Linked DNA regions of Arabidopsis thaliana. The protein of the gene in region 1 interacts with the protein of each later gene in a pairwise test. Each region holds a gene or a part of one and is shown in the gene's direction. Other genes may lie near its edges.

The links.
Region 2: the proteins of AT1G66260 (region 1) and Y14 interact in a two-hybrid assay, tested with the Arabidopsis thaliana proteins (one study listed by BioGRID).
Region 3: the proteins of AT1G66260 (region 1) and MAGO interact in a two-hybrid assay, tested with the Arabidopsis thaliana proteins (one study listed by BioGRID).

What each region holds. Positions count from the first base shown.
Region 1 is NC_003070.9:24,693,478-24,702,694, reverse strand, and holds AT1G66260 (RNA-binding (RRM/RBD/RNP motifs) family protein), read left to right. Parts: upstream 1-3,780; 5' UTR 3,781-3,846; intron 3,847-4,210; exon of another isoform or gene 4,211-4,318; 5' UTR 4,319-4,400; intron 4,401-4,784; 5' UTR 4,785-4,811; coding exon 4,812-5,033; intron 5,034-5,778; coding exon 5,779-5,928; intron 5,929-6,018; coding exon 6,019-6,087; intron 6,088-6,174; coding exon 6,175-6,365; intron 6,366-6,448; coding exon 6,449-6,517; intron 6,518-6,613; coding exon 6,614-6,800; 3' UTR 6,801-7,049; downstream 7,050-9,217. Other genes in the region: BGLU21 (Glycosyl hydrolase superfamily protein), read left to right, coding at 67-136, 254-309, 397-472, 640-717, 808-895, 985-1,237, 1,358-1,473, 1,552-1,769 and 4 more; AT1G66250 (O-Glycosyl hydrolases family 17 protein), read right to left, coding at 7,279-7,432, 7,644-7,671, 7,783-9,033. UniProt on the Arabidopsis thaliana protein: Export adapter involved in nuclear export of spliced and unspliced mRNA.
Region 2 is NC_003070.9:19,100,120-19,108,242, reverse strand, and holds Y14 (RNA-binding (RRM/RBD/RNP motifs) family protein), read left to right. Parts: upstream 1-3,309; 5' UTR 3,310-3,489; coding exon 3,490-3,760; intron 3,761-4,073; coding exon 4,074-4,210; intron 4,211-4,719; coding exon 4,720-4,874; intron 4,875-5,125; coding exon 5,126-5,171; 3' UTR 5,172-5,452; downstream 5,453-8,123. Other genes in the region: AT1G51520 (RNA-binding (RRM/RBD/RNP motifs) family protein), read right to left, coding at 1-4, 91-270, 393-539, 739-1,454; ABCG12 (ABC-2 type transporter family protein), read left to right, coding at 7,271-7,499, 7,735-7,814, 7,898-8,123. UniProt on the Arabidopsis thaliana protein: Core component of the splicing-dependent multiprotein exon junction complex (EJC) deposited at splice junctions on mRNAs.
Region 3 is NC_003070.9:401,278-408,698, reverse strand, and holds MAGO (mago nashi family protein), read left to right. Parts: upstream 1-4,242; 5' UTR 4,243-4,297; coding exon 4,298-4,513; intron 4,514-4,751; coding exon 4,752-4,928; intron 4,929-5,172; coding exon 5,173-5,232; 3' UTR 5,233-5,599; downstream 5,600-7,421. Other genes in the region: ALG12 (homolog of asparagine-linked glycosylation 12), read right to left, coding at 214-291, 370-463, 561-626, 878-977, 1,149-1,231, 1,310-1,378, 1,552-1,619, 1,710-1,796 and 12 more; RA-5 (RAS 5), read left to right, coding at 6,911-6,924, 7,032-7,104, 7,191-7,238, 7,329-7,376. UniProt on the Arabidopsis thaliana protein: Core component of the splicing-dependent multiprotein exon junction complex (EJC) deposited at splice junctions on mRNAs.

The sequences.
Region 1 (9,217 bases):
TCATTTGAAATCATTTGTGCATGTGATATTCCTCAACTCATCAACTATTTTTTGTTATGTCATTAGGTCGAAGGTGCAATTAATGAAACTTGTCGTGGACCGGCTCTATGGGATATCTACTGTAGAAGAAATCCAGGTGAGTGTACTCGTATAATCTACATTCTCAATACAGTATGTTTAAATATTAAATTAAATTTAACTAATTAATATCAATACATAGCCATTAATTTTCTTAATTACTTTCAAATTACAGAGAGATGTAGTGGCGACCACGCCGATGTGGCCGTTGATTTCTTCCATCGTTATAAGGTATATATTAATATAAATTTAAGACAAACATAACTTATATTCTCGAGATGTTATTGAAATTTTGCCTTGTCTTAAAAATGTTTGTAGGAAGATATTCAGCTAATGAAGAATCTAAACACAGATGCATTCAGACTCTCAATCGCATGGTCAAGAATATTTCCTCGTGAGTATATGTCTGCAGATCTCTAGTTTGATTTTGTTTTAATCGAATTTGGTGAAATTAGATTTATGTGATTGTTATATAATACTAATAACCAATGAATTTAGATGATGTATATGTGAATGTTGAAGTATCAATAACTAATGAAACAAACTGTAATGCTTTATTAGATGGGAGAAAGGAGAAGGGAGTGAGTCAAGCTGGTGTGCAATTCTACCACGAGCTCATCGATGAACTCCTTAAAAATGGTTATATACATATAAAATACCTAGTTCACAAAAATACAAGTAATATAGTATCCTTATTTAACATTTCTTTCTATTTTACGTCATAAATAGGTATAGTTCCGTTTGTGACTGTTTTCCATTGGGACACTCCACAAGATTTGGAAGACGAATATGGCGGTTTCTTAAGCCAAAACATTGTGTATGTTTTTGTAAATTAAACAAAATACATTTAGTTAAGTTTATATGGAAATTATTAATTTGGTATCTTTTTTTTTTGCAAAAATACAGGAAAGATTTTCGAGAATATGCAGATTATGTTTTCACTGAATACGGTGGAAAAGTGAAAAACTGGATCACTTTCAACGAGCCATGGGTCTTTGCTCACGCAGGTTACGACTTAGGAAAGAAAGCACCAGGACGTTGTTCTCGCTACGTTCCAGGTTGCGAAGACCGAGAGGGACAATCTGGTAAAGAGGCTTATCTAGTCAGTCACAATCTCCTCAACGCTCACGCAGAAGCTGTTGAAGTTTTCCGCCAAAAGGTAGTTTACATTAGATATAAATCATAATTAATTATCAGGTCACATTAGATATAAATCACAATTAATTATCAGGTTTCGAATCTTAAAATAGGTTGTTTTGTGTTGTGTTTATGGACATAGGTTAAAGGTGGGAAAATCGGAATCGCACATAGTCCGGCTTGGTTCGAACCACATGATCTTAAAGATTCAAATGACGCTCCAACTGTTAGCCGTGTACTTGACTTTATGTTGGGATGGTAAGTATATATTATGTTAGAAAATGGTTTCTCGTATATAATTTCATAAAAATTAATGTAGTTATTAATTTTGTGTAGGCATCTGGAGCCAACTACTTCGGGAGATTATCCACAAATCATGAAAGACCTTCTTGGTTACAGATTGCCTCAATTTACTGCTGCACAAAAAGCAAAATTGAAAGATTCGACCGATTTCGTAGGGCTTAACTACTATACTTCGACATTTTCAAATTATAATGAGAAGCCAGATCCGTCTAAACCAAGTTGGAAGCAAGATTCTCTTGTTTCCTGGGAACGTAAGTTTTTTTTTGTTTTCCGTACATGAAACCAAACCAAGAAACTAAAGATAAAAGGTTTTATAATACTAATTGATATGCATACATTTTCACTTTTTATTTTTCAGCTAAGAATGTAGATCACAGCGCCATTGGTAGCATGGTAAGCGTTTGATTAAACTAGTCCTAGTTTGTGATTGTTAATTTTTGTCTACGACATAACATTTTCACCATTGCTTTATTTCAGCCTCTTACTGCTGCATTGCCCGTCTACGCTAAAGGATTTAGAAAGCTTTTAAAGTACATCAAGGACAAATACGCAAACCCGGAGATTATGATAATGGAAAATGGTAACTCGAGATTTATTGTTATATTTGTGTGTTGATTTAATCTTAACTCTTAAGAGTAATATACTGATCATTATAATGTTGTTTTTTCTAGGATATGGAGATAAACTTGGGACCACAGATTCGGTTGACGTTGGTACTGCTGATCATAACAGGAAATATTATCTTCAGAGGCATCTTCTGGCTATGAACGAGGCTATTTGGTAAGCCTTTTATTATTTGATAGATTGACTAACGATTCTATTGAATGGTCTAATTAAGAACATAATTGTGTTTGTGCAGCATCGATAAGGTGAGAGTTACGGGATACTTTGTATGGTCATTGTTGGATAACTTCGAATGGCAAGATGGTTACAAAAACAGATTCGGACTCTATTACGTCGATTTCAAAAATAACCTCACACGTTATGAGAAAGAATCAGCCAAGTATTACAAAGATTTCCTCGCTCAAGGTGTTCGTCCATCCGCACTCAAGAGGGATGAGCTTTAAGTTATATTTTGAGGATTTCGTTTTCTATTCGATGTTTTTCCTATGTTTTAGTTTGTGATTGACCACGCACGATTCATGAGTCGTGGTTAATAATAATAAAAGTGTTTCGTTTTCCTTCAATCTCTAGCTTATTCGACAAGATCAAGAAGGCTTTAGTTTTAATGACGTTATCCTTTTTGAGAATCAATATGTGAAGTTAAATATGTTTTACCTTCCAAACTTGAAGAAAAATTGAATCATACAACCTTAACATTAAAAAATTTATGAGTTACAAAATGATGTAAGAAAATATCATTAGTTTTAGAAAATTAAAAATACGAATTTACCTCTATACATAGAAATAGATTAGGAAATAATTTGACGTCGTCTTAACAACTAAGTACAAACATTTCAAAAACTAACAACTTAAACGTTGGCGATGAAATAAACAATGGCAATTCATTTTCCCAAACAGTTCTAATATTTTATTTTTGAAAGTCACTAGTTTAGATTAAAAAACAGGACGACCAGCAAGAGAAGATATCTCTTTTTCACTCATTTGGCCAAGCGTATTTTCTATATACCTTAAGGAAATAAAATCCATGCATGATGCAACCAAATAAATCCACCATGCAATACCAACATCATTCATTACTTTGGAAATTCATATTTCATTCTTAGCAAGCAAAAAAAAACAAAAAAAAACAATCAAACGTATGTGTTAATAATGAAATCATCACATTCTATCTTACTAGTAGTCACTTATCAAAAACGATTTATGTAAATAGTGATTTTCAAGATTTTTTTTTTAAAAGCAAAAAATTTAAAGGCCAACTCACTTTCAGACTGTTTCTTTTGTAAAATTGAGAATTCTTGGAGCATCTCCTATCAGTACTGTAGCTGATTCATTACTTATTTTCGTGCTTTTGATATGTGAGTGAGTGAACTAGAGTCGTAGATTGATAGCTTTGAAGCTGAGTTGGAAGGATTGTCTGTCAAAAAAGGAAAGACAAGACCTACCAAATTGGTAAGATTTGAAATATATGCATATACTGTAATTTATGCTCTGTAGTGAGTCATGTCTTTTGGTTTGTTTTTCTCTTTAACACTCATCTTTAGACATCTATTACAAGGCACAAGGATCACATAATAAAATTGGAACTGATCTTGAGCCACAAAGGATCATATACACTTTCTTTTAAAGAACCCTACTTGGAGAACCTACCATGGAAAGATAACAAAATTAATAAATCTTTCCAAAAAAAAATAAAACAAAAAAATAGTGAGAGTCTATAGAAGGTTCTCACCACTGGACATAATCTTAAACTGCATATGCAAATATAGGTTTGATCAAGATTTGTTTTTCAGGAGTACCAAAAAGGTTCCGTAGGAATGATAGATTGATAGATTCTTACATATACACAATAAAAAAAAAAAAAAAAAATTGTAGTATCAACATATCAATTAGAAAAACAACTGGGGCATTTTTGATATCTTCGAAAAGTATAATCCTTATCTTATAAACTATTTTTAACTAAACGCGGAAACGCATAGCTGGCAATCTTCCCTTACGGTTTTTTGGTAATTGTCTACTTTTGATAAGAGACGCAAAACGCCCCCCCTAAATCGAGAAAAGTTACATAATTACCCTGCTGACCTAGTCCTATATAAAAAAAGATACCTTCTCCTCTCCATTAACCAGTAATCTCAATCACAAACTATTTCCCCCCCTTCGTTCATCAAATCCTCAAGAGAAAAAAAAAATCCCCAAAAGCTTCCTCAAAACCCTAACACAGATCTCTCGATCTTCTCCGATCTGTCTTTTCTCCTAATCTGGTAACGTTTCGATTCTCGATTCATCTGGTTTCGCGTATAATGTTTCCGATTGATTTCACTTTTTCGATTACGAATCTAGATCTAGGGCTTTGATCTATGTTTCTGAGATGCGATTACGAGTTTCCGTCTAAAATTTTGCAGTGATTCGTGTTTTCTCGATATCGCTTATGAGAATTGTTTTCTAGGTTTTAGGAATCTATTGGTTCATATGTTCCGATAATCAGATCTTTGAATTCGAGCAGTGGATATGATTCACCGTCCTTGATTTGTGTATTTGAGCTTGAATTTTATAATTATTGCTTGATCTCCTTCGATTTTGATGGCGTGTGTTGTCATTGTGTTGGTGGTAGCTAATTGTAATTTTCTAAACTCCAATTTGTTCAGGTTTAGTTTGATTTTATTGGATTGAAGATGTCAGACGCTTTGAATATGACTCTTGATGAAATTGTGAAGAAGAGTAAGAGTGAAAGGTCTGCAGCTGCAAGGTCTGGAGGTAAAGGAGTTTCCCGTAAGAGTGGACGTGGACGTGGTGGACCTAATGGTGTTGTAGGAGGTGGAAGAGGAGGTGGACCTGTTCGTAGAGGTCCTCTTGCTGTTAATACTCGGCCATCATCATCCTTCTCCATAAACAAGGCAAGCTCGAAATCTTGATTGGAACTCTGTGCCACCAAATACCGAAGCATGCTAAAACTTAAGATGGATGATCTTTTAATGCTCTTTTGTCCTTGGAGAAGAATCATACATGCATATACCGTTACTTCTGATGATGATTCAGATTACAAGAATCTTCTAACATCTTCTTAGAAAAGCTTCTTTCCTGCAATTAGTGGTTTTTATGGTTAAAATCTGGGAACTTCAAGAGGCATGAATAGATGTGCAGAAGTTTTCGGTTGATATTGTCACTCGCTATAGGTTTATTGAGGAGCTCCTTTAAGCTAAGTAGTCCACATAGGGTTATCTACAGGGGGATAAAGCCTGAAAATGTGTGTGGTTTTAGGGGGAATTTCAGAAATTTTAACAGTAAATAGGATTTATGATGGGTTATCAAAGTGGGGGTATTTGCACTATGCATGAAGTTCACGATGGTACATCTGGAATTTCTTCGGAGTGTGACGGCAGTCTCAGTTTTCGTTTTTGGCTTCAGAGACTGACTGATAACACCAGTATGATTCATATGAAGTTAGTCAAATTTACTTGTTTCCCTACGTTTCATTTGGTATCTCCTTGGATGGTTCTTGACTACTTCTTCCTGGAGCTCTTTGCTTTAGTACTTTCAGCCAAATGGGTGTTTTCTCCTCTTTCAAGAAATTTGTTGATTAATGTGGCTTCAAGATTCTACAGACCCTTTTAGCTGACTTGATATGTTCTACTGGATCAGCTTGCCCGCAGGAAGAGGAGCTTGCCATGGCAGAATCAGAATGATTTGTATGAAGAAACCCTTAGAGCTGTTGGGGTATCAGGAGTGGAAGTCGGAACCACAGTTTATATTACCAACCTTGATCAGGGAGTGACAAATGAAGATATAAGGGTATAGCCTGACATCTATGTTCCAGTGCTTCTGTTGTTTTGGTTCTGTGGAGTTTTCTGAAATTGGTTTGTACTATCATATGGAATCTAGGAACTCTATGCTGAAATTGGAGAGCTGAAAAGATATGCAATTCACTATGACAAAAATGGGCGTCCAAGTGTAAGTTCTGTTTTCTTTTTGCTATGGTTTATCTGTTCATTACCGTGTTTCTGTAATATTTGATATCTGATGTTCTGTGTCATACAGGGATCGGCTGAAGTTGTGTATATGAGAAGAAGTGATGCAATTCAAGCTATGAGGAAATACAATAATGTACTTTTGGATGGAAGGCCTATGAAACTGGAGATTCTGGGTGGAAATACTGAATCTGCTCCTGTCGCAGCTCGTGTTAATGTGACTGGATTGAATGGAAGGATGAAGAGGAGTGTCTTCATTGGGTATGTTGCCGGTCTGTTTTTTTTTTACAAGAGAATAGTTTTGAGTTTATGTGCTGAAGTGAATGTATCACTGATTATTGCAGACAAGGAGTTAGAGGTGGGAGAGTAGGAAGAGGAAGAGGTTCAGGTCCTTCTGGGAGACGCCTTCCACTGTAAGTGTTCAAGAGTCTGATCTCGTTGTCATTCATGTGGGCTGATCATGCATTGGTTTTATCATCTTATCTTATCATATTGTTTATTTATGACAGCCAACAAAACCAACAAGGTGGTGTGACAGCTGGTCGAGGCGGGTTCCGTGGTAGAGGCCGGGGTAATGGTGGTGGCAGAGGGAATAAAAGCGGTGGGCGAGGTGGAAAGAAGCCAGTGGAGAAGTCTGCTGCGGATCTCGACAAAGATCTCGAAAGCTATCATGCTGAAGCTATGAACATCTCTTAAACAGAAGCAAGACTTCGCATCTTGTCATGTACTTTTGTGTTCTTTATTCTTAGTCTCTGACTAAATATGTGGCAAAGTCTGGTTTGGTTTAATTACGTTTAGGATGGCTCTACTCTGCTTTTATTTTCCTCTTTTCTTGTTTCACACTTTCACAGTCACTTTTGGTTATTGAAGTTAAAAGAGATTTAGCTGTAAATGAGAAAGCTGTTATTGTTAGTTGGTTGAATCTAATAATATACGAAAAAATCTTTTAGTCAATTGTGAATTTTATCTACAGAAACCCTAAACTTCACTTTCTGAGTAACGGATCAAAAACGAACAATGGGATAAAAAAGACCATTAGAATGTTATCTTGGTTTTTGTTGTGTACAAAATCGAATCCAACACAATCGGCCTCAATTCTAACTCCAATCCCACCTAAGAAAGTTAAAAAAACTTCTCGGAACAGAAACTAACATTGTTATGTCCCAAAGATTTCTCACAAGATATTAGCAACGTTCAAAATCATTACTGTCAAGATACTCCATATACCCCGACTGTAATACAAATCACTCCGTATTCCAGAAGAAGTTGTTGAGTTTGCCGATGGCGCTGTTATGTTCACAGACGTCCCGTTTCTACCATTACCGCGGCTGCAATCGAGGTAAAATAAACAACCATTAAAAATTTATACAATATGAGTGTTTCATTTGGACTAACTGATCTGATACTAAAAAAAACTTAACACAATTAACATGAAGTCATTCTTTTTAATCCGAAAAACCAAATCAATACATTTCCTAATCGAAACCAAGAATGAACATATCTACCAACAAAAGAGTATAAGGAAACAGAATAATTTACCTCCCAGCAAACACACATGTACCATGACCTGCATTGAAACAACCAAGCAAGAAAAAATTAGCTTTTTTACTAATTAACGGTAAAAAACAGTATTACACAATGCAATGTATAATCAAAAAAGGCTTTTTATGTTTCTTACTTGGATCTGTGGTAGTGATACTAGCAACACCATTGAAGTTGCAAGCATCAGGATTATTCCCAGTCTGATGATAATAAGTATCAAACGCGTAGTTAGCATGCGCGACGACATTATCCGGTTCATAACAAGTCTCTCCTTGCTTAATAGGCGAACAATCAATCTTTCCAGGACCACAAGCCCAATCAAGAGCAGCTTGAAGCATCTTTGTATCAGCACCTTCTCTTGCAGTACAATAAGTCTGGTTCGTTGTATCGTTAGCTAGAACCGAGCCCGAGTTAGTCAACCGAAGTACGTAAACCGGTTCACCATTTGCATTAAACAACCCCCAATTCTTCTCTGATAAACCTGCTTTTGTATCTTCATTGTAAAGCTCGTAAATATAAGTACTCACAGCGATCCCCGGGCGTTTCGGAGTTCCGGTCTTGTTAAGAACATGTCTAATGAGATTACTGTTGTAAGTGTTGGCGTTGTCAAGTGTAGCATCAGGCTCATTGGTTTCTCCTTTCGAAGGCCAGCCTGATTCGGTTACTAAAACCGGAATGTTTGTGAAGTTGAGGAACGCCATAGCGAAGTACGTTGCATCAACCATTGCATCAAAAGCGTTTGAGTAACGAACAAGAGTGTTTGCATCAACAGCTTCTTTGTTTGGAGGTATCGGTTTGAACAACGCGTAGTCTAACGGAATCACACCGTTTGATTGCATATAGTCAATGTATGGATACACATTCACCATCAGGTATGAGTTTGTTGACTGCAAGAAGCTTAGTAACGGAACTATAACCGCATTCAAAGAACGGTTAAAGAACGCTTGCGATGGAGGAAAAGGATCAAGAATCAAGGAAGTTGATAAAGGAGTAGAAACTTTTATCAACTTGTCAAGATTCGCCGAGAGTAAAGCAGCATGAACGTTCTTTATAGCACTGACTAGAACAGGTGCTGCATTAGAGAGACTGGTTAGCACCTCAGAGCCAACAGAAACCGCGGTTATCATCGTTGCAGGGTAATGTGCAATGACATTGCGTTTAACCCAATTCGCTGCGGTTGAATTGGATTGACCTATACCAAGAAGCTGGTCATTAGGAATGGAGATTATAACTTTGATACCAGTGTTTGCTAGAGCAATCAACAACCCGGGATCAGCGTTGTATAATCGAATATGTCGGATTTCTTGAGCTTTTAGTAGAGCAACAACTTGTGTTGGATGTGGCATATCAGAAAGATCAGTCCCTATGTTTACTCCAATATATGAACCTACAAAAAATATATTGATTTCAACTAAACCATTAGTATCAACATATCTAGAACTAGTCCAAAAGAGTGTACAATACTCAAAGATTTGGATTCATAGACTTAACTAAAAAGAACTATGTCTCTGGTCAAAACATTAGACATTGAATTATTTGTCTTGTAATAAATATTTGGGGACATGAAAATT
Region 2 (8,123 bases), 5.6 Mb from region 1:
CCTCCTGCTATTGTTTCACCAAACTATAATAAGAAAACGCCCAAGAGAAAGAAAAAAACATGATAAATAGTAACAAGGACCAAGCATTACTTTTGAAGGATTTTTCCTTTCTCCTTGTATGGTTTAACGAGCACACGTGAGTCACATATGAAATGAGGGTTTCCACGAGCTAATATGGTTCTCACAGTTTCAGCCTTAGCAAAAGTTACAAACCCATACATCCTTTGCTGCTGATATGGAATCCTCACATCATCCACAAGTCCAAAATCTCTACACATTAAAAAAAAACATGACAGTCAAAACAAAGAAACATGACTCCCTAATCCAAATGTACACCAAACAGAGTCCTTCCTTACATCTATAACCCGATTATATCACAACACATGATTTACCTGAAATAGGTTGAGACGTCTTCATCAGTGAAGGAGCTTTCAGATGGAAATGTCAAGTAAATCTGTTTAGAGACTGAATCCTCTCTTTCATGCCTTCCTTGACTAAAATAGTTACCACATTCTTCTCCAAAATGTCCTGATCCGTGTCTGCAAAGAAACAATCACCATGAGGAAAACCAAGCCTCAGAGCTCAAAACTTCTTGATACAACAAAACCAAGAGAACAAACCAAAACCATCTAAAAAAACTTGCCTCAAGCTAAAATGCTACTACTCTTGTTGTGTAAAGTTTAAGTCTTTCCTAACAGAACATACACAGAGAAAGAAAACAAAAAATCCCAAACTTACCTATGCAACATTGGAGAGCCACAAGCCGCCATAAACTGAGCAGCAACCATGCTCTTTTGCTGAGCTAACTTCATCCTCATCATCCCCTCAAGCATGTAATCCATCTCACTCGGCGATCCAAAGACACCAGAGGAACCAAAACCATCAACTAAACCGCCTTGTGGAAATTGATGACAACCATTTCCTCCTCCAAACCATGGTTCCTCTGACTCAAAACAAGCATCGTTAGCAGAGAAACTCCTCTTGTGAGAATTGGCAAATGGGTCCTCGTCGTTTGTGAACAGAAAGTTGTTACTGAATTGTTGTTGCTGCTGCTCATCGCCGGAAGAAGAGGCAAAAAGTGATGAACTTTCACGAAAAGGACTAGAATTGAAGTTAGGCTTATTATCTCTGAGTGTGTTCAAAGTTAACGAAGAAGACAAAGGGTTACTAGGGTTTCTCGAGAACTCTAAGAACCCATTTCTGGGAGAAGACGAGGACAATGACTGGCCATGGATATTGATGGGTCTCGAGAAACCGTTCGAGGAAAAACCTAAATCGACTTTAGCTTTCTGACAGAAAGTCTGTATGAGAGAGTCAGGACCAAAAGCAATTCGAATCAAATCTCTTTGTTCCATGTCTTGCAAGAGAAAATAGTCAATGACTCTGGAAGCGTTCTCAAGTTCGAAAGTTCTGATCTTTGAAAAGATTATTGAAGTTGGGTCGCCAGGATCCATGGCCGGAGAAGTTTTGTTTTTCCCCACAAGATGGTGAAGAAGACGAAGAGAAAAAAGGTGAAGGCTCTTTTTGGGTTTGCGTTAAATCATAAATGTATGTTTCTTTTAGAATTTTGTATGATTTTGTCTTTGTAAAAAGCATTTAGCAAAAAAAACAATTTTTTTTAAAAATCGAACCTTTTTTGTTTTTATTGTTCTTTGAAACTGTTATCGATTTTTAGGGATATTCAAGTTTCGTAAAGAGCGAGATTAGAATGGAAAGAAATCATATATATTGACCTGATTATTTTGGCAAATTAAGAGCATTAACAGATTTTAAAAAGATTGTAGTAACAGATTTTAGTAGGTATCAACACTATGTATTCCCTTTTTCATGGATAAAGTAGCTTTTTCAATACATTGTTTTCGTTTTTGTTTTTTTGTTTATTAGATTGATTTGTTAGAAGAACAATTTATATTTGCAGTAAAAGATTATTGGAGATAATTAAATTATTTAGTTAAAATAATTTATATAAAGTAATTTTTTAGTTAACTAAATTATTTGACCCCAAAAAAAAAAAGAAATTCTTGGTCTGCCACTTTCTATACTCTATACTAATAAAGATTTTAGTTTCTTCACCTATAGTAATGGGAATCACTTGGTTCCAACAAAATTGATAATTACAACTGTTTGGTGGATTTAATTTTTTTTTTCTCCCAAACTCTTTGGCGTTACAACCTGCAAGTAAAAGGGGAAAAATGAGGTCAAAAACTCTATCAAAAAACAAAACCAAATGAATAAGGGCCAGGCTTATCCCTGAACATAGCTAAGTGAAAACTAGCATTGTGATGTATAGATTATATAAATCTTAGGACCTGCCCGTAAAGAAAAAGTATACTCTATAAATATTAGGACCTGCCCGTAAAATATTTTTTGCCCTTAACTCTCATGACCGGGCCAGCTAAAGACAAACGGTCACTTGAACTGTGAAGTCTACTATTTTTAGTATAGGGCTCATCGACAACAATTACCCTATCCCATCCCATAAAACAAAATTTTGTCAGGCAGCTGTTCTTTTCCCCGTCACACCAAAACTCGCGCATGACATTAATTTTTCCTCAACACTGTAACGAGTGTACGGTCTTCGGTTACTTCATTTCCAAATCCTACCCGTTAAGATTATCTTTAGATATTATATCAACGGTCGATATAGCTTCTTTAAGGACACGTGTGTTGTTAAATAGTTGTCGTAAATTGACCAGAGTTTTGTACTACTTTAGTCAACAGAACCAGACAATAAATGTTTTCCAAATTAATGCTCTCCCCTCCTCTAAATGACGTAAGTAATTATTGGCGACGAACTAAGATTTGTTTTCTTTAAATGCTTTGCATCTCTCTATGTTTTCTTTCTTAGAATTTGGTCGAACATGTTGGACGAGATTTATTTGAGATTAGAGTGGGAATTAGAAAGCAATATTCGACTATAATGATTGTATGCAAACGGATAAAACAATGATGATCACCATCAAAGAGATGGACCAGTATCGACTGTAAAGTGTTAAATACCACAATATGATTGATAGTATCCTAATTATGAAGTGATACAATAATTTGACATCATGAATGCTTAAAAAGGTATGCCATGATTCACTCTCGACATATGAAATTCAGATAATGTAACATTAACAAGAGAAGTTTTCATCAAAGGCTTAAGCCTGTTTTGTAAGAAACCTAAAAAATCAAAGGCTTAGCTTACTCTGAAGCGTGAAAGAATAAATAAAAAAAGTAAGAGCCCAAAATAAGCCCACTAACATTGACGAGAGGAGTTTAATCAAAGCCTGTTTAAAAGGGAAAAGGAAAAACTAGCGTGAGAAAGAAATACAAGCGTAAAAGCCCAAAATAAGCCCACTTAAGGTCCAATATATTCCTATAAACAACACTGGCAGAGAAATATCTTGATAGAAGAAAGAGCTCCGTCCCCAAAAACAAAGGAAACAAAAAATCAGTCGGCGAAACGGGAAGAGATCTATCGGAAATCTTACGGCGGCGGAAGTCATGGCGAACATAGAATCAGAAGCAGTCGATTTCGAGCCAGAGGAGGATGACCTTATGGACGAAGAAGGTACAGCTATTGACGGAGCTGATGTTTCTCCACGCGCGGGACATCCGAGGCTTAAGTCGGCTATTGCCGGAGCTAATGGCGAATCAGCAAAGAAGACCAAAGGCCGTGGGTTTCGCGAGGAGAAAGATTCCGATCGTCAGCGTCGTCTTTCCTCACGCGATTTCGAATCACTTGGTTCAGATGGCCGTCCTGGTCCGCAGAGATGTAATTTCACTAAATCTCTTCCTCTTTCGCTGTTTTTAGTTAGGTTTTAGTGTTGGCATACTGATTCTTCGCGTTGTTGATTTATTTGTGGTAGTAATTTGTTCTAGGGTTTCTCATAACCCCTTGTGTTTGGGATTCAATTTGACCTAGAAGTTTTTTGAAAAAAATTAGATTGGTTTAGATTTAGTTTGTAACCATTATAAAAAATGTAATGGTTCTAGAGTCTGTGAAGATAGAACATAGTTTCTTTGAGGGTAATGAAGAATTGGGACTGTTTTGGATGAATTTGTTTGTTGTGTGTGTTTATGTGTAGCCGTTGAAGGATGGATTATCTTGGTCTCTGGAGTTCATGAGGAGACACAGGAGGAGGATATAACCAATGCTTTTGGTGATTTTGGGGAGATTAAGAATCTAAATCTCAATCTCGATCGCCGTAGTGGTTATGTCAAGGTATGGAGTTTTGCCTTTGTTTCTTAGTGGCTCTTGATGTCATTATGCCTTTTGGTTAGTTATTGTGAAGCTAATTTTTTTGCTTAGTTATGTTGATATCATTTTGCCTTTTGGTTTGTTATAGTGAAGCTTGATTTGTTGGATTGTTGTCATGATGTAATTTAGAGATGAATGCAATACTGTTTTGTCGTAGATGTTGACTTTACTCTTTGACATGCTTTGTGTTAATCAATGTAATACTGAATATCTGAAATTGAGAGCCAAAAATGATAAATTTATCTTTGCAATGTTACATTGCTTTTAAGAGGGAGATGTAATATTCTGTAAAGTGCAATGCTGTTCCCTAAGGACACTTCGTTTAAGTTACTTCAAAGTGTCAGAAATGACGGGTCGAATAAGATAAGCTGTCTTCTAGATGCGAGTTTAGGAATCAAATATTATTTTTCTTTAGTTTGCTTGAGTTCTCATGGAAGTGGAAGTAACACTTTGCTTTTGTTTTTTTTGATAAGGGATATGCTTTGATAGAATATGAGAAGAAGGAAGAAGCACAGAGCGCTATTTCAGCAATGAATGGTGCTGAGCTTCTAACACAGAATGTTAGCGTTGACTGGGCCTTCAGCAGCGGTCCCAGTGGTGGTGAATCTTACAGGAGAAAGAACTCGAGGTTTGTATCCTAATCTCTTTTCTGTTCCGCTACGACTTGTCTGATCTTGTGCCGATATGAAGTCAAGAGTGTCAAAAAGTATCAATTAAGATATAGACTTAGAAGTTTTAACAGTTGACAAGGTAGTATATTGTACTAAGCACCTACCAAACTTTACTGTCTTTATGCTAATGAATCGAAATCACTTGTGACTTGTCAAGTAGTTATACCTTTCTTTAAATCATCATCCATTGATCATTGGGGTTTTACAGGTATGGGAGGTCGCAACGTTCAAGAAGTCCGAGAAGACGTTACTGATTGTATGATTTGGTGGAGAGTTCTCCCCATATCTCTCTGTATTAGGGATTCCCTCTCTTATCTGTAAGGTACTGATGCAAGACGCTGAGTGTTGAACAAATTTTTTTCTGGGGTTTTTGTAGGGTTTGGCTGCTTTTGCATTGGTTTATCTCTTTATGCATTTGCATGGGATTGTTGCGTTTAAACACCATGAGATCTGTTTTAATGCTTTGTATTGGTAAAAGAAGAGAAACATTGGATGAGGAAGAATGTTTTAATTTTCATTCTCTTATTGATTCATATTTAGGTCAGACAGAATTTGAAAATCAAAGACCTTCCATTACACTAGAAAACCAAATATGATTATATAGAAAAAATCAAAGAATTTTCAACCAATGGCATTATTTCACACTGGTTTATTATTCTAGGCGTAACTATTGGTAACCTAAATATGTTAACAGAAATCATCAAATGACTATTAAATATTTTGGCTGAAATTTTCCAATCAATGGCAATATTCACATCGTTTGTTTTTATAGGCGTAACTATTCGTATCCTAAATATGTTAAAAGAAATCATCAAAGGTTTGATGATTTGAGATAGAGCATGTACTTTCTTGCTACTCACAGGTTGCATGATTTCATTTGTACGAATCAATCATCTATACTTTGTGCATTGAGCCAGTCCCACATTATGTTTATGTATCCATCTATTTTAAGGGCTCTCATATACTAACTTACAGCTGAAAAGTATAAATATGAAACAGTTGGAACAGTTATATAAGTTCTGCTTTTGTTGTCACCAACAAAAAAAATGATATGCTTTTACATGATTCCAACAAAAAAAAAACAGTTTTGTATTCTTGTTAATGATGGTGCCAAAGGCTTATAAGACCATACCTTAGATTCTGTTGAATTTAGAATCTGGGTTTCTATCTCTTTTCTGGAAATCTTGTTTCTTTTTGTTTTCTTTTTATACCAAAACTTTGTGAAATCTTAGGTACTTTTGTTTAGTATCAGTTTACTCGTTTAAAAAGAACCAATAAACCTACTAGATATAAATAGTAAGAAGTCTATAACTTAGGGTTGTGTTAAATACTAAACAATGCTTAAAAATGTGGTTAGACATAGCGCTATACTAAAGCTAAAAAGCTAAAGATAACCATAAAATCATGAAGATAATAAATGGACGGATAGACCAAAAAGAAATAATGAAGCATAATACAAAAAAAAAACTATATCGGTTCCAACTACCACACATTTAATTCCTTTCCCTTTTCATTTAACACCTGTGAAGACTCGTTGCGAGGGTTCTCTACCTCTTTATGTCATTCAAACTTATCAATTATCAAGTCTCTTGATTTTACATGTTCAACCAAACACGATTTTTCAAACTTAATTTTATATATCTTCTTCATTAATTATCGAATATCACTTCTCTTGCTTATAGTTACAAAAACTAATACAATGATAATTATATAATTCTATGTGTGAACAAAACGATAAATTTGTCAAAGTATCACTATCAATCCCTTGGAATTAGTAGACAACCAAATATGGATCCTTTAATTGATTTGTGATGTTTCTATTCATTTCGAACTAAATGAAAACATCTCATCGTAAATAATCACACTGTTAAATTTCATTTCACAAAAATATCATTTGATTTCTGTGTGGACGAAATTTCTTGTTAGTTGGCAAGAACCGACATAAAAAATATATTTCATACGTATAATAGTATGTCAATAAGTAGGTGGTTGCTTACTAGTTACTACTACACATGGACGATTGTATAAATATTAGACCTCATTCACACAACTCTCACTCTCTTACATTTAATGTGCAAGAAAATAAAAAAAACTATATACTATAGACGTGTATCTATATATGGTTATGATATTAAAGCCATCCATTAAATGTAATTAGTTGTTTGTTGATTGTTGCTCTCAAGTCTCACCTAAAGAAAACCTTAGGCCTACAAAAATTAATCACTATCTTTATAATTCCATCTCCAACCAATATAATAAAAATAACCTAGACGAAGAACAAACAAAACTCTCTCTTTCTCTCTCTCTCTCTAATAAGTAAGGTTTTGATCTTTTTCAAGATCAAACAAAAACAATGGAGTTAGAGAGTACGAGCAATGGCCGACGTCCGCCGCCACCGGCAGAGATTGGCCGTGGGGCGTACTTGGCGTGGGAAGATTTGACGGTGGTTATACCAAACTTTAGTGGTGGTCCGACTCGAAGATTGCTCGATGGATTAAACGGTCATGCTGAACCAGGTCGGATTATGGCCATTATGGGTCCTTCCGGATCCGGCAAGTCCACGCTTCTTGATTCTCTCGCAGGTTCGTTTTCTTTTTGGTATTAGTGTGAGTGAGATTTATTTGATTATGTACATAAATATTTGTTCTATTTCATTATTTTGTTCTACATAATTTACGTATCTAATTTATGGATTCTTATTATACCTTATGCTAATTCTAGTTGTTAAGTCACACTCATTATTCGTTAAAAGATAAACAAATAAATCATATCTTAAATAATTTTAAATAATTGTTCAGAATTATCCCATGTATATAGGTAGACTCGCAAGAAACGTGATTATGACCGGTAATCTTCTATTGAACGGAAAGAAGGCAAGACTAGACTACGGTCTCGTCGTAAGTATAATCTAATATCAAAATTTAATTCGATTTTTTTTTGGGAATTTTAGAATTTTTATTGGAATTATTACTATGAATAGGCTTATGTAACACAAGAGGACATTTTGATGGGAACACTAACGGTGAGGGAGACAATAACATACTCAGCTCATCTACGGCTATCAAGTGATTTGACCAAAGAAGAAGTCAACGACATTGTTGAAGGAACAATCATTGAACTTGGTCTTCAAGATTGTGCAGACAGAGTCATAGGTAATTGGCATTCTAGAGGAGTGAGTGGCGGCGAGAGGAAACGCGTCAGCGTTG
Region 3 (7,421 bases), about 24 Mb from region 1:
GGGGTATATTGGTAAAACTAATTAAAAGGACCAATTGATTCAATTGTGACGCGTAACTCAAAGCCCAAAGGCCGATGATGCTTCTGGATGAATTTGTTGAATCCATTACAGTAAGTCAGTAACAAGCATCTCCGTTGTTACATTACATCATGTCCTCTCTGAGGAATGCTACATTACATCGACCCAAAACATTGTCTCTATTTGTAGGATTACCTAACATCCAGGCCATTTCTTATGAAAAGGATCTTCCTTCTTCATCTCCCGGTGCAAGTATACTTTGGCTTTTTTTACCTGCAATTCAACATTACATTACATTACATTCCATGCACCTATTTTGATGAAATACTAGCCCCACGCCCACCGATTTACCAAGACAATGGGAGGGAAACCTCGCCGCAGCTCAAGTCTCTCAAAGCCTTCTTCATAAAATAAGCACTTGTATCCATCTACAGAGGAATGCTCGCTGCACCAAGCATGACAACAGTGTTACATGTTGACCACCAGTGGTATCTTTTTTTATTTACTATGAATTGCTTTCTACTATATGATGAAATACTCACTTCACCAGGTACGTGAAATTTCGGTTTCGCAACTCCTCCACTACTATCTCTTCTTCTTTGGAATATCTGCATTGCACAACAAAATTTTATATCCTCCTAAATAGATAAACAGATACCTCTTCTATGTATTCAAAGGCAATGTAGAATGATCCCTTTTCCAACAAAGTGATATTCGTATCCAAGAAAATGAACATGAAAAACAAACAGATGCCTCATCTCGCACAAATGGGTGCTTCCGAGTGGCAACTTTTTTCCATGTACATTGATATTTCCTTTACTTTTACCAACCCTAAAACGAGGTAGTACAGCTAACATACCTCCACGGAAAATCATCTTCACAAAAGCGAGATATTCCATTCATCGCACCAAAAGTGTCTATGTGAACCCACTCTTCCCCAGCTACATTTGCAGGATGGCCTGAGAACCATGGAAGGCACCAAGTCAATTAATCATATTGTAGGCAAATTATCAACCAGAGGTAGATAGACACCACAAAACAAACGCTGACCAGCAGATGTTTCTTGTTTGATAGCCAAGTCAATGCTGCTGCATTAATAACAAACCCCAATAACAGAATAAGTCACTCACCAATCTGATGCAAGCGCTTTAAAGCATAGCCGCTAGGATAATTGTAGTAAGATGCCATGAATGTTACAACCGTGCACCCTGCACTATAGAACCAGGTTTAGTAGACTAGCAAATCTCTTTCCTTCTCTTACATAGCAAAGATAATTGTTTACTATTTCTACCTGATTGCAAAAAACGCTAGCATAACCATATTCACCAGTTTCCAAATCGTTTTCTTCCTATTATTGTAGCTGTACAACAAAATCGGATTATATTAAGAGGTCGGCCCGCATTGGTAGTAATTTAAAGTGGCATACAGAAATTATGTGTATCCAAACTCCAAAGAGCTCTTAAGATACAGAATCAAAGAACGTCCTAGCTATGATTGAAAGCTTAGCTAGCAAACATCTGATAGAACTCATACATTCTGCTAGCAGCAACTGCAGCAGACAAGTTGAACATTGGCACTGAACTAATGATAAATCGGAGTTCCTTCATAAATCAAGAAAGATAGGTAAGCCGATGTCAGAAAATGGTTAAGAAACGTTGATGGCTACTGAGATAAGTAATCCATCTGAATACCTTGTGTGGAAGTTTAGAGTATAGTATAACGAACGATAAAACTGGAACTATAAAGAATGGAACCCTTCTGTCAACTAAAGTACCAAGCTGCATAAAAAGAAACCAAATAAGAAAATTTGTAGAGATACAATTAGCGATCCTAACTAGAAAGGAACAAGACAAACACTATCACAGATGTTAGGAAGTCTGGTATTTACCAATGAAAGTGGATAAGCTACAAGTAAAGACCGTGGGAGTGCTGAGGTGAAGTACCAATGTATGGAATGTGTCTAGTTTAGCAACTAATTTTCAAGGACAACACATCATTTCATACAAATGCAAGTGCCACAATATTAAACTTTGAATTGGAAATTCCAAACGGTTATCATTGTACAGAACGCAATCCTTTAATCAGGCAGTAGAAAAATGCTAGAACATTATGCATCATATGAAAAATAAATCAATTGAGGAAACAATTTTTTTGAAGGATACACCCCAATCAGAACTCCGGTTTAGAATGGAGTTAAACCAGAAAACTTCAAATTCTGGCCAGACAAACTTCTTCCACATGATAGAGTCAACGAAAATGGTAAGACCTGTGCTAAGGATTATTCCATGACCACAGAAAATAGACTCGGGAATTAGTGTCTGAAGGGAAAAAGCAAAATAGATCACAGAAAGAAGAGGAATTTTAACCAACCTACGGCCAACAGAGCGGTTCCAACACAATACTTAAGTGCTTTCCAGAAGGAGATCGATTTGGTCTGTCATTGACAAACATAAAGCACCCGCATCAGATGGAACGGTAAAGTATACGGCCAATTATACATATACAGAAGTTGAGAACCCAAACTATTTAATATTCGTCACCAGCTCACCAATAAAAGTTCAAGACCAATAGGCCCAAGCAGTAACATCGTATCGCATCTGAAGATTACAGTGGCAAAAATCTGATTATCGGATAACAGAGATGTCAGCAAACCCCATAGTTCTGGATAGCATGACCGATTTTCTAAATCTATAATCGAGAAAATATGTCACCACAAAGATAATACATACCAGGAAACTCAAAGCTGGATAAAAATTTCCCTTTAACCAATTACCATATGCCAGATTGACTGCAAAATCAAAATTTAAAAACATAAGCAGAACCTAGTAAGGCCTACGCTAGATGGGTCATGGGAAAGATTGCTAGGACATCTGAAGGACCACTACTAGTAGAGTAAGATGAATAGAAGTAATTACCTAATCCCAAAGCTAGAATATTAGGAAGAGGACGAGTGCAGTAGAAAAGAAAATGAAACTGAAGACTGGTGAAAAGTACAAAGAAAGTTTCCACTTGATTTCCAAACTTTTTTTTTATCTGACAAACCAGTAGATTTTGGTCAGTGGCAGTATATAGGAGAAAAACAGCCAACAAGATGCATGTAAGAGATCCCAATTCCAAGGACATGGGAAGGGACAAAGAATCAGATAGGGGAGTCAGAAGTGTGGTATGGAAAGAAGCACTAAAGGAACTTCATACCTGAATCCGGAAAAATCTTAGTGTGGACAATATGATGCAGCCCAACACCAAACGAGCTGCAAGACAAAATGATAAAACTATGATGTGAATTGGTTTTGTCTGTGTTTAGGGGAAAATAGTTAGCGATTCATTAAGGAATTATATAGGGAGGGAGAAACAGAAGAGAAACCTGCAACAAGGCTATAAACCTTGGGGAAGCCAAGGCAGCTGATAATTGATACAACAGGTGATGCAAAAACAGAGACTATGAAGGCTCCTGCAAGAACAAATCAGAGTGGAATAAAAAAAAAACCATCCACTAATGTATAATGATAAAAAAAAAACCATCAACAGGTGATGCAAAAACAGAGAGCGAAATTCAACAGCCCTCCTTACCAATAAAAGTTCGAGGGACAACACCGGGGAACTCCAAATGATCATACTGATAGGAAAAAAATAAAAAGACAGAAGTCGGTAAAAATTGACATCACTCTAGAGATAAAAAAAAAAAGAGTAAAGCTTCAGAGAAGAAGTAAAAAGAGAGGTCACTCACAGAGTCCAAATGATGGCGATGGTAAAGAATGTCGTGCATTGACTTGAGACGAGTGAAACGGTTTCAGTAAAACGGAGAAAGAGTGTGACTCTAAATACTTTGAAAACCTACCTGAACGTTGAAGCTCTCTTCCACCTTAGTATATGGTGCCATGACCACATAGATTGCAGCTACAGATCCCAGAATCAAATCATATCCTGCTCCCACCAATCGAAAGTTTCAGTTATATAAAAAAAGAAAAAGAGATCATCTGGCCGCCTAAGAAGACGAAACGAAGAAATTACCATAGGATTGAAGAAACTTGGCCATTTTCGAATCCGTCGGCATCGTCTCTGTATCGGGGAATCGGAAATCAGGCAGCCCGGATACACACACAATTTCGATGGAAACAGAAAAACTAAAACTGGGCCTTAACTTTTCGGGTTACAAATGGGTTCTGGCCCAATATGTAAGCCCATTACCTTTTTTCTTTTGCGGGGACGGACTTAAAGAAGGGCAAAGGACACGGAGAGGTAATCTCGATCTCGAGAAAGAAAGAAAAAAAGAGAAGGCATGGCCGCGGAAGAAGCGACGGAGTTCTACCTGAGATACTATGTCGGTCACAAAGGGAAATTTGGACACGAGTTCCTGGAGTTCGAGTTTAGAGAGGACGGTAAGCTCCGTTACGCCAATAACTCTAACTACAAGAACGATACTATTATCCGCAAGGAGGTATTTCTCACCCCCGCCGTGCTCAAGGAATGCAAGCGTATCGTCTCCGAGAGCGAGGTCCTTTTTCTCTCTCTCTTCCGATTTGCTTCTCTCTTGTTAATTGTCCGCGTTTTGGTCAATCGACGCTATAATAGCCAATTAGGGTTTTAGTGATTTTGCTTCGATTTTTGTCGATCTAGGGCATCTTTCCTGACTAGTGTTGTAGGTTTAGAACCCTCTTCGTTGTTAATGCTATTATCTAGGAATAATGGATGATTTTGTACAACCTGACATGTGATTATTTGTCTGCGGGTAGATTCTGAAAGAAGACGATAACAATTGGCCGGAACCTGACCGTGTTGGAAAGCAAGAGCTCGAGATCGTCTTGGGTAATGAGCATATCTCATTCGCTACATCTAAGATTGGATCTCTTGTTGATTGCCAGAGCAGTAATGATCCTGAAGGACTTCGCATCTTCTACTATCTTGTTCAGGTCTCCTCTCTTTTTCTTCCACCCCTTGCCTTACCATCTTTTCTTTTACCTAATCCCTTAACTCTATTGGACTCGATTATATATTTAGGACTCTGCCTTTTAACGTATTCACTGTCTCAAACTTTAACATTTAGGGTTTGGCTGTTAACACTCATCCCTTACATGGTTCTGTAGTTTTTTTTTTTTTAGTTTCTGTATTTATTTGTGCTCTAACATATTCCTTTTGAAACTTTCATGGTTGCAGGACTTGAAATGTCTTGTTTTTTCGCTCATCTCTCTGCACTTCAAAATCAAGCCTATCTAGAGAAGAAAATCAGTTTGTGACATGTCAAGACGCGATGAATTTGTTGGGAACATGAGGACTTTGTGACTGAAGTTTGGTTGTTTTTATGTCTCTGGTTCTCTGTTTTTTTTTTTTGTTGGATTTGGGTGAAAGTGGGTATGTAAGATGTTCTACCTCAACTTTTGGTCCTTTTTTGTGTCAACATCCCATGTGAAGAACCTTTCATGAACCACAACCTATCTTCTAAAAACCATATACTTGCTGTTTTCTTATCACAAATCATTCACTCTCCCTAATGTACATCTACATATGATGCATGTTTCTTTTCCCTCAAGCCAATTTAAACTAAGGAATGTGATCTATCTAAAATACAAAGTATCAAAAACTAGCTGGATTAGTCGATAATTAGGATTGTTTCCATTCTAAAAAAACGCCCTCGGACCATTCAAACTGCTCCTCCAAAACCCGTAAATCTGGTTTTGCATTGAAGATATCAAGAGTAGCTTTTTATGAATCGGGAAGAACAATGGAGGATTCATTTGTCAGTGTCAGGCGGATTACTCACAGCCTAGACAGAGGACGCACCTGCCATTCATCCTCAGGTTAAGCACGCACTAGTCTCCTTTACCTTGTTGTAGTGTGTTGCAGAGAGTCACATGCATATTTCATCTTGTGGCAGGATCAGGTGCATGGTTAGGGCGGGGACTGGCTTGTGTTTGTGCACAGAAAAGGGATCACCACTCTCGTTATTCCTTTGATCTCACCCCTGCTCAGGCACCAACTAGCATCAGCTAGTTAGTTAGTTACCTTTTAAGATGGTCGGGGAAACATTAGTAGCTGGTTAGTTAGTTAGTTACAGCAGCTTTGGGTTAAGAGAGATAAACGCGAAGCCATATATATTGACAATTGGATGGTGTATAATTTATTGTTAGAAAACGAGTCCGCATTTGATATTCGATATTGCATTGCGTTCAAGGTGATGGATGATAAGTGGCTCACAATGCGGGATTCCTACATGGATTTTTTTTTTTTTTTTTTTACATGGATTTTAACGTAGCCTTTCTCCTCCATATAGCTTTGACTTTAAGAGATCAACTCAGTCTTCAGAGACTGAGTGTAAGTAAATTTGTGTTTGTTTGGCAGACGGTGCTGAAATCGACAAGGCATCAACTGGAGAGAGAGCTTCTACTGGAAGATGGGACCCGAGTCCAAGCCTTACCTTGTTTTAACCTCCTCCTCCAGAAAGAGTTAGAGTATATCTCCCAACTTAAAATATAGATGTCAATCAAAAAGCAAGCAACAATTGGAAAAATGAATCAAGAAGACTAGTATAGATCCAACATCTGGGAACCACAAAACAATCTCCAATTGCTGAGTGGATCGTAGGAAGGGCCAATTTACAACCCTAAACTTGTGAAAGAAGAATGAATTTTAATCTTGGCGTTATTGGGCCTCCGCTCCTCTGGACTCTGTCGGGCTTGATCCATTTTCGTTGCTGAGTGGATCGTAGGAACCCTAAACTTGTGAAAGAAGAATGAATTTTAATCTTTTGCATTATTGGGCCTTCGCTCATATTATTATTCAAGGCCCAAACACTGAATCTCCTCCTCTTGTAAATCGCGAGAGAAAATCAGAAAAGAGAGAGAGAGATCTCTGGCTCTGTATCGCTCGCTGCTCTTCCTCCCACAGATCGAAAACCATGAATCCTGAGTAGTAAGTTCCTTTCTCCATCGACACATACTTGGGTCGAAATTACCTCTGTTATATATTTGATTCTCCGGGTGGTTCCTAGGGTTTAATTAGCGTTTTGGGATTTGCAGCGACTATCTTTTCAAGCTCCTGCTTATCGGGGATTCTGGCGTAGGCAAGTCTTGTCTTCTTTTGAGATTCTCTGTAAGTTTTTTTTTTTGTCTTTTTCTTTCTCAGAGATCAAACACTGTAGCTTTCTACATTTGTTCATGTTTGTTGTTCTGCTGCAGGATGATTCTTATGTAGAAAGTTACATTAGCACTATTGGAGTCGATTTTGTAAGTTGATGTTTTCTTTTTTTTCTTCTTGCTACTGATGACGATGCTTTGATCTGACCTTTTTTTTTTTCTTATATATCTCTTGTTCAGAAAATTAGGACTGTGGAACAAGATGGCAAAACAATTAAGCTCCAAATTGTATGTAACTATTTTCACACTTGTCAAGTTAATAGCTCTACGTCT